Drosophila melanogaster: one gene and its partners. The protein of the gene in region 1 interacts with the protein of each later gene in a pairwise test. Each region holds a gene or a part of one and is shown in the gene's direction. Other genes may lie near its edges. The genes, in order: CG6023, CG34453 and heca.

Region 1 (4,597 bases):
GGAAACACTATCTTCTGTCGCGTGTGCATTTGGCTAACGAGAACTTACACAATGAACTTACACGTGCATCTTGGTGGTATATTTGCTAAATTTAAATATTATATGCCTGGCTGAGGCGATAAGTCTGAGCGATATTTCCGTCGCTGTAAGTGTGGGATGTTTGCAGCTTTTTACTACGCTGAGTACTAAGTACTGTCGTACGTCACTCTGGAAGAGCTCATCAATGGAATGGTCATTTCTAAAAAGGGAATGGCAAACAGGAACGAGCGATAGATAGCGGATCTCCCTCAAACCGGATGACGTTGCAAGTTTAGCGAGTTCAGGCCGAGATTAGTGCGTGGCCAAAGTTAGCACCTCCTCGAGTGCGATAATTAACAGTCAACAATGCCTGGATGGGCGCAAAAAAAAAAAAAAATAAATTATAATAATAATAAAGAGGAGGAAATCAATACATATCGAATCAAAAGGAGAAGGCACCCATCTAGCGCTGAACAAATGCAATTCTGGACTGACAGCGGGCAAACTGCATTGGAAAACCCTTGGACATGGCCTCCAGCTCGAATTCCGGAAAAGTTGGCAATTATGGATCTGCCCAGAGCAATTGGGTAAAAACAAAGCTCGAAAAATTTGCCCAACTGATGAAATACTACGCAGAAAACTCGACAAGGGAATACGACTCCCATGAGCTTTGTGTCCCATGAGTGGGTTGAACTACGTGCGTCTTTATGAGTAATTGCTATGTCAAAGTGTGAGTGCCATGTTGGGCTAGGTTATGTGCTTGCTCGATGCACTGTGCACTACTGTGCACTGGCCATAGAAGAGACAGACACTCTGTCTGCCGGTTGCCGGTGTCTCTTATACCCAGTGCTCGATCAATTGGCCAAGTCCAGCGACCAGCGGCCAGCGGCCAGCGGCCAAGTGGCTATTGCCAGTCAGTTGCATGCAAAACGCGCACGTGCCAAGCGATCGATCGGAAATGCCTACGGAACGACGCGTCATTTGCCAGGCAAGTGGCACCCGCATCATAAATCGCCACTTAGTTAAAGTAAATACAGTAAATCGAGTAACTGAAGAATCCGAAGTGACGCCGCCGCCACAGCAGCTAAGAGACACGAGATATTCGCAAATTAATCAAAGTAAACGCGATTCCACTTTGGCTAATTCAGCCTGATGGGCATTGAGACCAATGTTGAATTTACATATAGCCATTACAATTTCCGGAAAGCTCAGTATTCAGGCATCAGGCTTATCAAATTTCGTACAAGAACAGTGAAATTCCCCATAAAAAATGTGTTTGTTGTCAAAATGTTGCCTCGAGCTTTTTGCTTTGGGTGTTACTCTGTTAGCTTGAACACTGAGTTTGGAATATGTATACCAAACAAATTCCAAGAATCTATCAAACATGTATTAATCAGCTAACAAACAGAGCAATTGGCATGTGTCGTTAAACAGTGACTAAAAGCCACTCATAGACAGAGCTAAACTAAAATGTTTGCAGTCGTCGTCCTCCAGGCAGGCAATTTAAATAAGGATTCAATGTTGCGATTGTAAGGTCAGCCTAATGCCAGTTGGCAACCAAGATGCCCGATTACTTGGTGTAGGGTGCAAGAATGCAATGCGACATCCGTTTTGGGCCATGAAGCGTGTGTGCATAAATTACAACGGTTGGCAACTCATTTGCCGCAAGACAGGAAGAAAACAAAACGTCATGTGCAGCGCTGCAACAGCGGCATGAACTACTGACCAGGGAGTAGCTAATCCCCGGCTGAGTCAGGAAGCCCATCCAAGCCAAGCCAAGCCAACCCACCCACTCACCCACTCACCCCCACCTCCGATAATTGAGAAAACCCAAATTCGAACTCCCTTTGCGGGCCGTTGTTTTTTTGATTCATTATCGTCATCGACCATCGGCCGCTGATGCTGCCGTTGCTGCTGCTGTGGTTGCTGCTATTGCTGCTCTTGCTGCTTGCTGTTGTTGTTGTTCACTTGTCGCTACAACGAGCACAACAAGTGTGAGTACCCGCCGCCCGCGCGCGTGTATGTGTGTGTGTGCGTAAAAAAAGTAAGCTCGGCCACGCGCTGCGCCGCTCGTGCGGCTTCGGCTACTGATATCGCCGGATGGCGGTCCGGTTTGTATTTAAATCGCCGGCGTGTGCCCCAACTCCTCATTAACCGTAAGATCTCGCAGAGCCCGCACGCCAGCCCCAGCTCTCCAGCTATCCAGCTATCCAGCTCTTTAGCGCGCTTTCAATCTGAATCTTGGCCAAATATCGAAAACCAATAAGACATACTCTCCGAACCGTGTGTGCCTAACATCACAAATCAAATCAAAATATGACCGCCAACAGCAGTGCCAGTGAATCCTTCGAGCTCCAATTCTTGGAGCGACTACAGCAGCAGCAGCAGCAGCAGGAGCAGGAGCAGAGTGCTCCGGCGGCGACAAAAGCGTCCTGCCAGCAGCAATCCAACATCATCGGTCGCATTTGTAAGTGTGCATTAAGATCTAGCGCCTCTGAATCATGTCGCTCTATCTGTATCTTTGTATCTATAACTGTGTCATCGCTGGGCAAACAGGAAAGTGCTCATCAAATGATAGGGATCTTGGGCATTGAAGTTTTCAATCATCATTATCTTATTGGCCAAGCCTGGGCATCCATCAGGATTAGGGAGATCTTTTGAACATCTTTGTATGAATCCTATTTACTGACCTTCCATCTTCTTGCATTGCAGCTACCTCCAAGTGCTGGCTCCTGGGCATCCTGCTGCTACTCACAGTCGCCACTAGTTGGCCAACGGGGACAATTGCCGCACCGCGTCGCGCTCGAGGATTGAGCCTGATTCTGCCGCACCGCAATCACGCACGACTACACCATCACCACCAGCACACCAGGTCAATAAGCACCAAGATCGTGCCCCTGTTAACCAATCAGACTGAAGGCAGGGAGCAGTGCACGGACCTTAAAATGACTCCCAATATCGAACACCTGCAAGTGGCGCTCGAGGTGGCCAAGAATACGCGGGAGGCGGTCCTCTGTCTGACCAAAGAATGGGTAAGTTAGCTAGAACGATGGACTTGCGGCAGCAGAGGCACTAAGTTTCCCATTTCCCATTTTTTTTCATTGCGAAACAGCTGAGGAATCAAAACCACACCCTGCCCCAAGATCTTCACTCCTACTCTCTGCATTCCCTGGCATTGAAGCATCCGCTCCAGTCGGAGGTCAAGGAAGTTAAGTTCCAGAACCAGCTGGGTGACTTTGTGTACAGTGGCAAGGTGACAACGCTGCAGGAGGAGATGCCGGCCATTATCGAGTCCCTGCTGGTCCTGGAGCATCTATACGAGATCATTGTGTTCGATCACCAGTCCTGGAACTGCTACTTCAATAACTTCGTGCATTTCTTCCATCACAACATGCACGAGGCTCTCAAGGTCGCCGGTCTCAACGATGCCTGCAATCCGAGGAACGCCGAGTACAATGCCGATCACATATGGCCGATGTTTGGCGCCGCCGTGGAGACCATCAAGGTGCTGACCATCATCGAGCACAAGTACGAGCAGCTGATCAAGCTGTATCAGTAATCCGCTGGACAGAGTTGGACGCTCCAGAGGAGCAGTAAAAGCCATACCAAAAATAATCGCCTCCGATGACCCACTGCAATCTCAAGCTAATAGGCTATGCCCACGAGTATCCAGATCCGTATTCGTCTACTAGACACCCTCATCTGCCTTAGACCCTATTATTTATTATAACTTATTAAATCCCCATTGCCCTCATACGTATTTATATCGCCTTTGCATCCTATTTATATACATACGCGTACCACCATACTCACTGAACACATTCACCGCATCGCAGGCTCGATAACTTATGAAAACTATTACTTAAGTGTATTTTTTTTATATATATTTACAATATTACAATGACTATTAATAAATTATACCGATAGGCGCATACGTGAAGTGCTTTTCTTTTCTGGTTGACCAATTTCATCATTCAGATGAAATTAAGTTACAACGAATTGGGGGCTTAGTCAACGGTGGGAATTCTGCCAACCTTTCGAAGGTCTACAACATCGATTAAAGCATGGGTGGTCATAAGATGTTTCCATGAATTGAAACAAGTGGAAATGGAACAAATCAAAGGTAGAGTTCAAAGTATAATTCTCAATTGCATAGCTAGCTAAGTAAATCGCTTAATACTTAGGGTTTTTTGATTTTTCACTGTTTTTTTTTTGGGGACTCGCGGGTTTATGACCTCCAATGCTTGAAGTTGGCAACCCAATTACCACTCCCCCAAATCGGAAATACTGGGGAAGTATGCGCGAGATTCCGTTTTTGGCCCGACTCGTCACCTGCCCTGACCCACCCCATTGTCGTTTATAGCTCGTGCCCGGGGCACGTTCCGATAGATAGATAGATACATAGATAGATGTATGTACATACATATATATCGGTTCGAGGTTTTCCACAGCGCGGCTGTTAAGAAAACCCCAAGTACCGTACAGCCGTCTGGCTGTGACTCATGGACCATTAGGCAAAATGTCGGGCAATCGTCGTGTGATCTCTGCATGTGACAAAGCAGTTTGTACACGGTAAAAA
Region 2 (4,331 bases), on another chromosome or scaffold:
CTTGTGTGCAATATGATATATCTAATAATACCTAAATCAAATCGTAGGACAGAGGTGCAGAACCCCAGACATGGCGCAGGCCGACCAAAAAAGTTGACAAGAAAAAAGGAAAAGTTGTATTGCATTTGCCGTACTCCATATGATGACACAAAGTAATGCAGAAATGCATATTCTTAACGCGCTTTTAATTAATATATTGTAATTGTGTCTATGTAGGTTTTACGTGGGGTGCGACTTGTGCAGCAATTGGTTCCATGGGGATTGTGTCAGTATTACCGAGGAAGCTTCTAAAAAACTATCGGAGTTCATTTGCATTGATTGCAAGAGGGCGAGAGAAACGCAACAGCTTTACTGTAGCTGTCGTCAACCATACGACGAGTCACAATTTTATATATGCTGTGATAAATGCCAGGATTGGTTTCATGGCCGTTGCGTTGGAATACTTCAGAGCGAAGCAGAGTTTATTGATGAATATGTTTGCCCTGAATGCCAACGCAAAAACGATGCTAACGCTGCAAATATGAAGAAACTGACTTCAAATGACGTTGAAGAGCTGAAAAACTTAATTAAGCAGATGCAGGTAATAACCTGAAATTCATAATAATTTTTATTTATTATTAGGGACCTTAATTAAATAAAATTTAATTTTGTGGGAATCGTTATTCTGTGTTAGATAAACGAACAAATCGTTTATATATTGATGGCATCAAACATGTTAAAATACGGTAATGTTTGTAAAATTGTTGAAAAAATATTACAAAGTAACGAACAGAACGAAAGTATTATAAGTTCAAGACCAAGTGAATCAAATATCCAATTCGTTCATTCGTTTCACATTCATTTCTGGCTAACGAAAAACTCTCAACTGTAGCACATCAAAAATGGAATAAATATTAAATTTCCCTACAGTTACACAAAAGTGCTTGGCCATTTATGGAACCGGTTGATCCGAAGGAAGCACCCGATTATTACAAAGTGATTAAAGAGCCAATGGGTATGTAACACAAAAAATAAATTTATTCGAAAATAAATAAAATGGGGATATTTTTTTCTATAGATCTCAAACGGATGGAAATTAAACTCGAATCAAACACCTATACCAAACTATCTGAGTTTATAGGCGATATGACAAAAATTTTTGACAACTGCCGTTACTATAACCCAAAAGAATCATCCTTTTATAAGTGTGCTGAAGCACTAGAGTCATACTTTGTGCAAAAAATTAAAAATTTTCGCGAAAATGTTTTTGACCAAAGAACATAAGAAATAATAGCCCTTGAAAACTTTAGAACAAATGATTATAGTTTATAAAGACACTTCTAACAATTTGAAAAACGTCCTTCAGTTATGTATTCTTATTTTGAATCAAATGTTATATAAACATATATTATCAATAAAAACACATATAATTAATTATAATAAATTATGTACATATTGACCATATTTAGTAACGTACACCAGTATGCAATAAATTTCATATTCACCAGACATTTGTAAGATTAAAAATAATTAAGTAAAACCCCCTTTGTACAAAACATTAAAGTGTAAATAAACAGCATGCATTTCATTTGATATCCTTATCATATGCTGTAGGTTTAAACTTAGGCGTATGTAACTTGTAAAAATACAAGCTTATAATAAATGTTCAGCATATTTTGAAAATAACTTGCATTTATTTAGTCTTTGGTTTGTTTACTGCTCATTGGACTTTTAAATTCACACCTACTCAGCAAAAACAAAAATATACCTTAAATAGCTTATTAATATTATTAGACGGATTCTTTGCACTAAAATAACAACAAAATCCTCATTTGTTGATCTGCATTGAAATTTTTGTAGGCCCTTGCATAGGGTATATTTTGTAACAGTCCGAAATTTGCTTCGCAATGAAGGTACCCTTTATGATCACAAACTATATTCCTATATTCTTGATCAATATCAGCAGACGATGCGACATAACAAAGCCCGTCCGTCAGTTTCTACGCAATCCAGTCTCTCAGTTTTAAAGCAGTTATACATGGAACTTTCCCAAAAGTCTTCTTTCGGTTGCAAATGTCACTATATAACGTAGTCGTTACTAGACTGTCCAGAAGTTGTTTATTCTACGAGTAATGGGTATAAAAATACTAATTAACTGGTTGCCATGGCGAGCGTGCGCAGAAAACGGGTTTATTAAACAAAATTATTGACTAGTTAAACATAATAAAACGATGGAACCTGCTAAAGTGATTGGAAAGCTGTAAGAGTTCAGCACATCTTATTAAAATATGAATAGCAGATATTATTAACAATTTTAGAAAGGAGCAAGTGCGCATGGAGCACAATTCGCGTCGTAGTTTTCCAAAAGCTTGGAGCGAAATTTCGGGCAAGCAAACTAACAAGTTCTACCACCAATCTGAGATTAATTCTCAACTAAGTAACCAGCTAAAATTAAAAGGTATATTTACATAGAGGTTTATAATTGTGCACTCACATACTCTACCCTATAGACCTGTGCCCTTTTGTGCACAACAACCAAGGCGAATCGCGATTCGTATCTCCGGAGATGTACAAACCTTTACTGGCCGTCTGTCGCTGTGGGCGAACTAAGGAAAGCATCCATATGGGAAAATGCTTACAAAGAGCCTTGAGTCCAGATTACAAGCAAGAAATGGTACAGAATGGCACTGATGCATGGAGTGCAGAACCATTTAATGTGCCTTCCACTTCAAGCTGTAAGTAGTGCACCTACATTTAATTGTATGGGTACAACAATATAAAGAGATTTTCAGCTACCATTGGCTTCGCAGCTATTTCGAAAAACTACCAAAAGCTGGAGCGTTCTATGCAATATGTTTCTCCTGCGTTTTCCATGCCTGGCCCTCGAATTACAGCAGTCCCTTACTATAATATTATTATTGGATAAGTCATCACGAATTTTAAAGTTTCTTGTTGGTCATTTCCAACCCATATTTTTGATGAATCAAATCTGGGATTTCCCTAGATTATTGCAAATATAAGCACATGATAATAAACTTAAAATTGATAGCGGGCATCGTACAGAACTGGATTTTCCAGACGATTGACTGCTTTAGAAACCTGTATTCAGTGGCGTTCCCATATCTTATTTACTACTTTGTATTTTGATTCACTGAATTAAAACTTTCCAGTATATGTGAAGTTCCTTATGCTTAGTGCAGCTGATTCTTGTGTTGGTTCAGTTTCCCTCGATCAGCGAACGAAAGCACATACGACTATAAGCTTCAGGATTCAGTTAAAGATGTGCATCAATTGGCATCCAATATTTATTTTTGCTTGTTTAAGTCAGTTGGGCGCAGCCCAAGAACCTTTAATTTTCGAAACATCTCGTAGCCCATGGAACAATGCCGCCGCAACGACGTCAATACCAATTTCGCCCACCAGCGCAAACTTAGTTTTGGTTAACAATGTAAGAATACCAGGAGGTCTTACACCATTTGTACCAGCACCGGCCCCAACCAAGGAATTTCTGAACTGCTTTGGTAACTGTCCCACCACATCGCAATACAATCCCATTTGCGGCAGCAATATGCAGCTTTATATGAACGAGGAAAAATTTAATTGTGCTCGTTTCTGTGGAGCTGGTGAGTCCATTATATCCATTATATTATTATTTTTTAATCGAAAATATACTTCACTATTCGTTTTTAGACATTCAAATAGTTCGAAGAGGTTCTTGTGAGGGTCTTTTTGCGATGACGCGAGGTTGATATGCAACAACCAGCTATTTAATGTAATAGATTAATATACTCCAACTAAGATATTTTCAGTTTAAATATTATTATGGCACAGAGATAAGACGCCACGCAGTACATAACAACGCAAAATAATATAAATAAAATAAATACATACTAATGCAAAACAATCAAGATAACCTTGACGCACTTGTAGAAAATTTCGAAATGGATTCCCAAGACAGTTCCGTTCTGAATTTCAGAGAGAATACTTGCAAACATGGAGGCGATTTATCAATTGGTCGTAATCTTAGGTACATTATATACATAAATATATTTTATTCTGTGTGAAAGCTCCTTCTAAAATATCCGTTTTCTACTCAGCTATTATTTTTGGGCATCTGCAGTTCCAGTCCACGGTGTTAGCTGACCCTGCTTTTCGTCGCCCAAATGCCATCGCGCCCGCCCGCACCTATAGCGGTGTATACAACCACTCGACGATTCACAGAGCTGTCGAAAAGTCCAATTTGACTGCCCCGGCGGTTCACCAACCTGTCCTCCAGGCACCCGGATTTATAATACCATATCAGAACCGTTCGTTGGTTCACGCCAATCAGGGATCTCATGGCGTTTTACCAG
Region 3 (4,597 bases), on another chromosome or scaffold:
CTTTTTTCGGCCCCCAGGGTTGCAGTCCTGCATTGCCATTAATTATGCAAATTAAACTTGATGCGTGTCGCCGAAGAATTATGAGCTCAGCTTTTGCCCGCGGCTTCAGACTCTCTCCTCTTCTCTTCTCCCTTTTCGCTTTGAACACATGCCATCTTCTTCTTCTTATTATTATTATTTTTTCGTTATGCATTGGTCATTAAAATTAGGTCAGAGTCGAAGAGAACACAAAGCGAAATCCTTGAGAATTATAAAGCGGCGATGACAACAACAACAAACTAGTTCGCCCCTCCTTTGTTCTTTTACCCTCTCCACCGACGATCCTTTAGCTAGAACAACAAACAACCTATACATACATAATTACATACATGCATACCTAAATATACTCGTACGTACGATCCTATTACGCAATGGCTGCCGATCTGCCTACCTGACTGACTTAATTATTATATCAGAACCCTCTGGTTCTCTCCCTCCTGCTCGCTCTTCTTCTACCCGGCAGGTCAAAATCGAGAGAAAAAAATGGAAACTGCGCAGTTTGACTCGAAAATAAGTGGAATTGGACCTTGACTTTGCACCGCAGTTACCAAAAGAATAGAACCCCGGATCCTGAGATCCTGAGTCCTATAAGAAAACCCCATCTGGTTGCGAGATCCCTTCCCTTTACCACTTTTCGTTCTACACGTGCCTGTTTTTTGCCATTTCTACCGCTTCTTCTTATTCGTTTTCGCATACTTTTTTTTTTTGCAACACAGCGGGAATTTTTATATGTGTGTATGTACATATATACACAAAGGCGAGGATACAATAAAAAGGCTCTACGTTTGAAAGCTTATTTGGGTTTTGGTGGCAACTTTAATACCCTACAGTCAAAACACAAATAAGTAGTCATAATACAAAAGTTACCTGCGATATTCGTAATCTTAGGACTAATATCAACAATTTAACTATTACAATTATTCATACATATGTACATACTTGTTTCAATTGAAAGCAGTAATAGGTCTGCGTATTCAAGTTTTAATTGGTTGTTTTAATTCAAGGTAGGGTATCTTCAACTCTTTTTCGTTCAATGTTTTAATTCTCTTCCTTTTTGTCTCTGCCACTTTTATTGCCAGCACTCGCATGCATTCATTGTATTTGTATTTTTGTGCAAATGTGCTTGCGAATATATAGGGGATTATATAGATACGTTTGTATGTAAATATATAACAGCAATCGAAGCGTGCGACAGAGAACGGCAGTTCCGACAGAGGGAGATGGAGACATCGAACGGCATTTCCACTTCCACTGGAATTAAAAGATTAGCCACGGAAAGCAAAAGTGCGCTGCAAGTTCGAGTTCCAGCGACTCGGCAACCCTGTTTTCATGTTGTTTACTTTGCCGGTTTCTGGCACAAACACATATGCACGCTCCATGCATGTGGAACAGAGCCAACGCGCTCGACGTTCGCATGGCAACTGCAGTCGAACATGTTGGAGGGGAAACGACCGGCTTCGAACTTGATTCGAACCAGCTTCGAGCCGCAACGAAAGTGAATTTTGGCGAATCATCGAGAGCTCCTAATTGTAAATGAAATGGATGTAAAATCTAAAAATTCTAATAAATAATTAAATTTAGATTATTTAATAATAATCGAATTCATTTAATTTTGGAACCAAAACATAGGGAGAAATATATATTCCTTTTTGGCTATAAAGTTAGAAACATGTTATTATTATTCTTATTAGTTTAAAGAAAATACGGCTTGATAGAAACATTTTCTATGGAAATGAAGCTTATTAACAAAAGTCTAAACTCCTACATATATTTTTAAGACATTTAATCTAATCAAGTATGTAACTGCTATCAAAAGTTCCGTTGTAAAGTGGGAAAATGTACCAAATTCTGGCCTACAGTGGAAAATTCTAGTGAATTAGACACTTTTTTTGTAGCCCCTTCCGCAATTTTCCCCCACCATTTCTCATTTTAGCGCCAAAAATCTGTTCAGTTTTCCACCGAATGAAAAGCGAGCGGTTGGCGGCGGTGGTGGAAAGTGAAAACCAGCCAACCACCACCCACCAACCCCGAAAAACGGAATGAAGAAGTGCGGAAAATCGGAGTGGAGGAAAACTCCAACTTCGCTGCCAATGCCAAGCAGCGACGCCGGCAGCGATGTTCGACGCGCGATGTTCGAACGCGGCGAGCAAGCACAGACCAAAAACAGTTTGAATTTCGCTTTCGATCTGGTTGGTTGTGTTTTTTGGCTTCTCTCTGCGTGCGCCGCTCGTGGTGGGAAAAAACGGAAAACAGGAGAACTAGCAAAACCGAATAAATCGAAGAGGAACACTCCAGTTTACAATTGTCCTGCGACTAAAAACCAATCGGAAATTTACACTATCCTCTAATCCTTTTTGTTTGCCGGCAAAAAAATAAGAGGCGCAAAGAAATAAACGCAGAAAGCGAAGCAAAATGTGAAAAATTGCCGAACATGGCGCCGCGTGTGTGAATGAGAGCGAACGATCGTGTGAGAGGGAGATAGGGACGAAGCGAAGATAAACAATAAAAAAAAAACAATTTTTGATACTTAAAGTTCTACAACAACAATAAACTCAGCTCAGGTACAACAACAAAACAGAAAATTACGCAAAACACAACAGACTGCATTGACGGGAATTTTTCGAAGTATTTTTGATACACACAGCAAGGAGGTGTACAATTTTTAAAGCAATAAGTGAAAGCAATTACCCATCAAGTTAAAAATAATACCAATCTCGGTAGAAACCCACTCGGAAAATCCAACTGAAAACAATTGAAAAAGGCAACCGAAAAGTTAAAACCTAAACAGACTAAATCGCTAAAATAACAAGCATTTACTATACACAAAAAAATTAAATTCCGTATAAAATCAGACTTTTGTCTGCAAAATTTCTAAAAATTTACAAAAACCCACTAAAATTCACGAAAACTCACTGGATCTGCCAAAACCATCAGTTGAAATATATTCTGGAATCGGTTCAAAAATAAATAAATATATGCCAGCAGCATTTATATAGACCGCAAATCGCACCATAAAATCGCGAAAAAATCAACAAGCAATATTTTGAAATTCATAATCGTTGGCAAAATGCTGATTCGAAATAGAGATTGAGGATTCTCGAGGACAGCCAACCCAGCCAACCAACCAAGTTTTTCGCCGCAACGAGTGCATATTAAGAGGAAAAAACACAAATTTATGGCTCCGCGTCGCAACAGCAACATCAGCAGCAGCGGCAACAGCACCCAGCAGCAGCACCAGCAACAGTTGCAGCAGCAGCACCAGACGCAGCAGCATCAACTGCTGCAGTTCTACGCGGAGAACGTGAATTCTTCAGGCGTCCTAATGGCGCCCATGCAGGGAACCGGTGGCGTTGGCGGCGTTGGCGGCGGGGGCATGGTCCACTGCTGCCTGCCCAGCGGAGACTGTCGCAAACTGGACACCCTGATACACCTGAACGAGCTCTCCCTGGCGGACTGCATCCGTGTGCTGTGCAACAACGAGAACTGCAGCGCAGGCCAGTACATGCATCGCGAGTGCTTCGAGTGGTGGGAGGCGAGCGTGCTGCAGGCACTGAAGGCCAACGGTCGTGCTCGATCCTGGTCGGAGCGGCAGCGTCTGCAGCACCTGTGGACCAAGAAGGGCTACGAGCTGGTCCAGAAGGCCTGCAGCTGCAAGTGCGGCAGGGGACAATTGCGCAAGGACCTCGACTGGGTGCCGCCGAGCAGCCAGGGCGTCATATACCTCAACGGGTCTGGCAACCGGCCCACTCTGGCCAATGGCAGCCTCAGCGAGGACGACGACAAGAAGAAGGCCAAGAAGAAGAGGAACCGCAACAACAACAACAACAACGGCGGCGGCGGTGGTGGTGGTGCTGGTGTCAATGGCAACACCAAAACCCCCTTGAGCAACAACAACGGCAACAGCTACGCCGGACTCACGCCCAATCCCAATGTGGGCGTCATAGGGTCGGGTTTGCCCCACAACAACGGCAACACCGCCAGCAATGGCAGCAGTGGCAACAACGGCTCCTCCGGCGTTCTGCAGACCAGTGCGCTGGCCACTTTCAGCAACATCCTCAATACGAACAATGTCCTCGGCCTGGACCTGCGCGCCAGGGCTGGCAGCCTATCCTCCAGTGGAGCTGGCAGTGGATCCACCTCGCCCTCGGACTCCCAGTCCAGTGGCGAGATATCCGTGTCGCCGGTGCAGCAATTGCTGCCACAGCAGCAGCAGCAACAGCAGCAGTCGCTGCTGATCCAGCCTCTGGGTCCAGCTTTCGGCAGCAACCTTTTGCAAAATGGATTGGGCTTGTCCAAGAATCTGCTGATTGCTCCCCAGCAGCAGCAGCAGCAGCAGCTGCAACAACAACAGCAGCAGCAGAATAACCTGCCTGCTTTGGCCAATATCAGCAACTTCAAGCCATTGGCCAGCTACGAGCAGCAGCAACTTGTGCAGCAGCAGAAGAACAAGGAGGTCGAACTCTATTCCGATCGAGTGCGGTAAGTACAAGATATCATCATGATAACCATATAGATTATAAGGAGCTATAGTCTTATTGTCTAGAATTTCATCTTAAAT

Evidence for each region.
Region 2: the proteins of CG6023 (region 1) and CG34453 interact in a two-hybrid assay, tested with the Drosophila melanogaster proteins (one large-scale study listed by BioGRID).
Region 3: the proteins of CG6023 (region 1) and heca interact in a two-hybrid assay, tested with the Drosophila melanogaster proteins (one large-scale study listed by BioGRID).

The regions. Positions count from the first base shown.
Region 1 is NC_004354.4:18,313,470-18,318,066, reverse strand, and holds CG6023 (uncharacterized protein), read left to right. Parts: upstream 1-2,165; 5' UTR 2,166-2,334; coding exon 2,335-2,485; intron 2,486-2,730; coding exon 2,731-3,050; intron 3,051-3,130; coding exon 3,131-3,577; 3' UTR 3,578-3,943; downstream 3,944-4,597.
Region 2 is NT_037436.4:231,231-235,561, reverse strand, and holds CG34453 (uncharacterized protein), read left to right. Parts: upstream 1-2,210; coding exon 2,211-2,239; intron 2,240-2,297; coding exon 2,298-2,437; intron 2,438-2,489; coding exon 2,490-2,714; intron 2,715-2,771; coding exon 2,772-2,905; 3' UTR 2,906-3,082; downstream 3,083-4,331. Other genes in the region: E(bx) (enhancer of bithorax), read left to right, coding at 48-152, 217-580, 910-994, 1,058-1,263; CG34454 (uncharacterized protein), read left to right, coding at 3,260-3,602, 3,670-3,728; CG42846 (uncharacterized protein), read left to right, coding at 3,973-4,006, 4,077-4,331.
Region 3 is NT_033777.3:30,275,730-30,280,326, forward strand, and holds the start of heca (headcase), read left to right. Parts: upstream 1-2,202; 5' UTR 2,203-3,214; coding exon 3,215-4,518; intron 4,519-4,597. UniProt on the Drosophila melanogaster protein: Required for imaginal cell differentiation, may be involved in hormonal responsiveness during metamorphosis. Involved in an inhibitory signaling mechanism to determine the number of cells that will form unicellular sprouts in the trachea.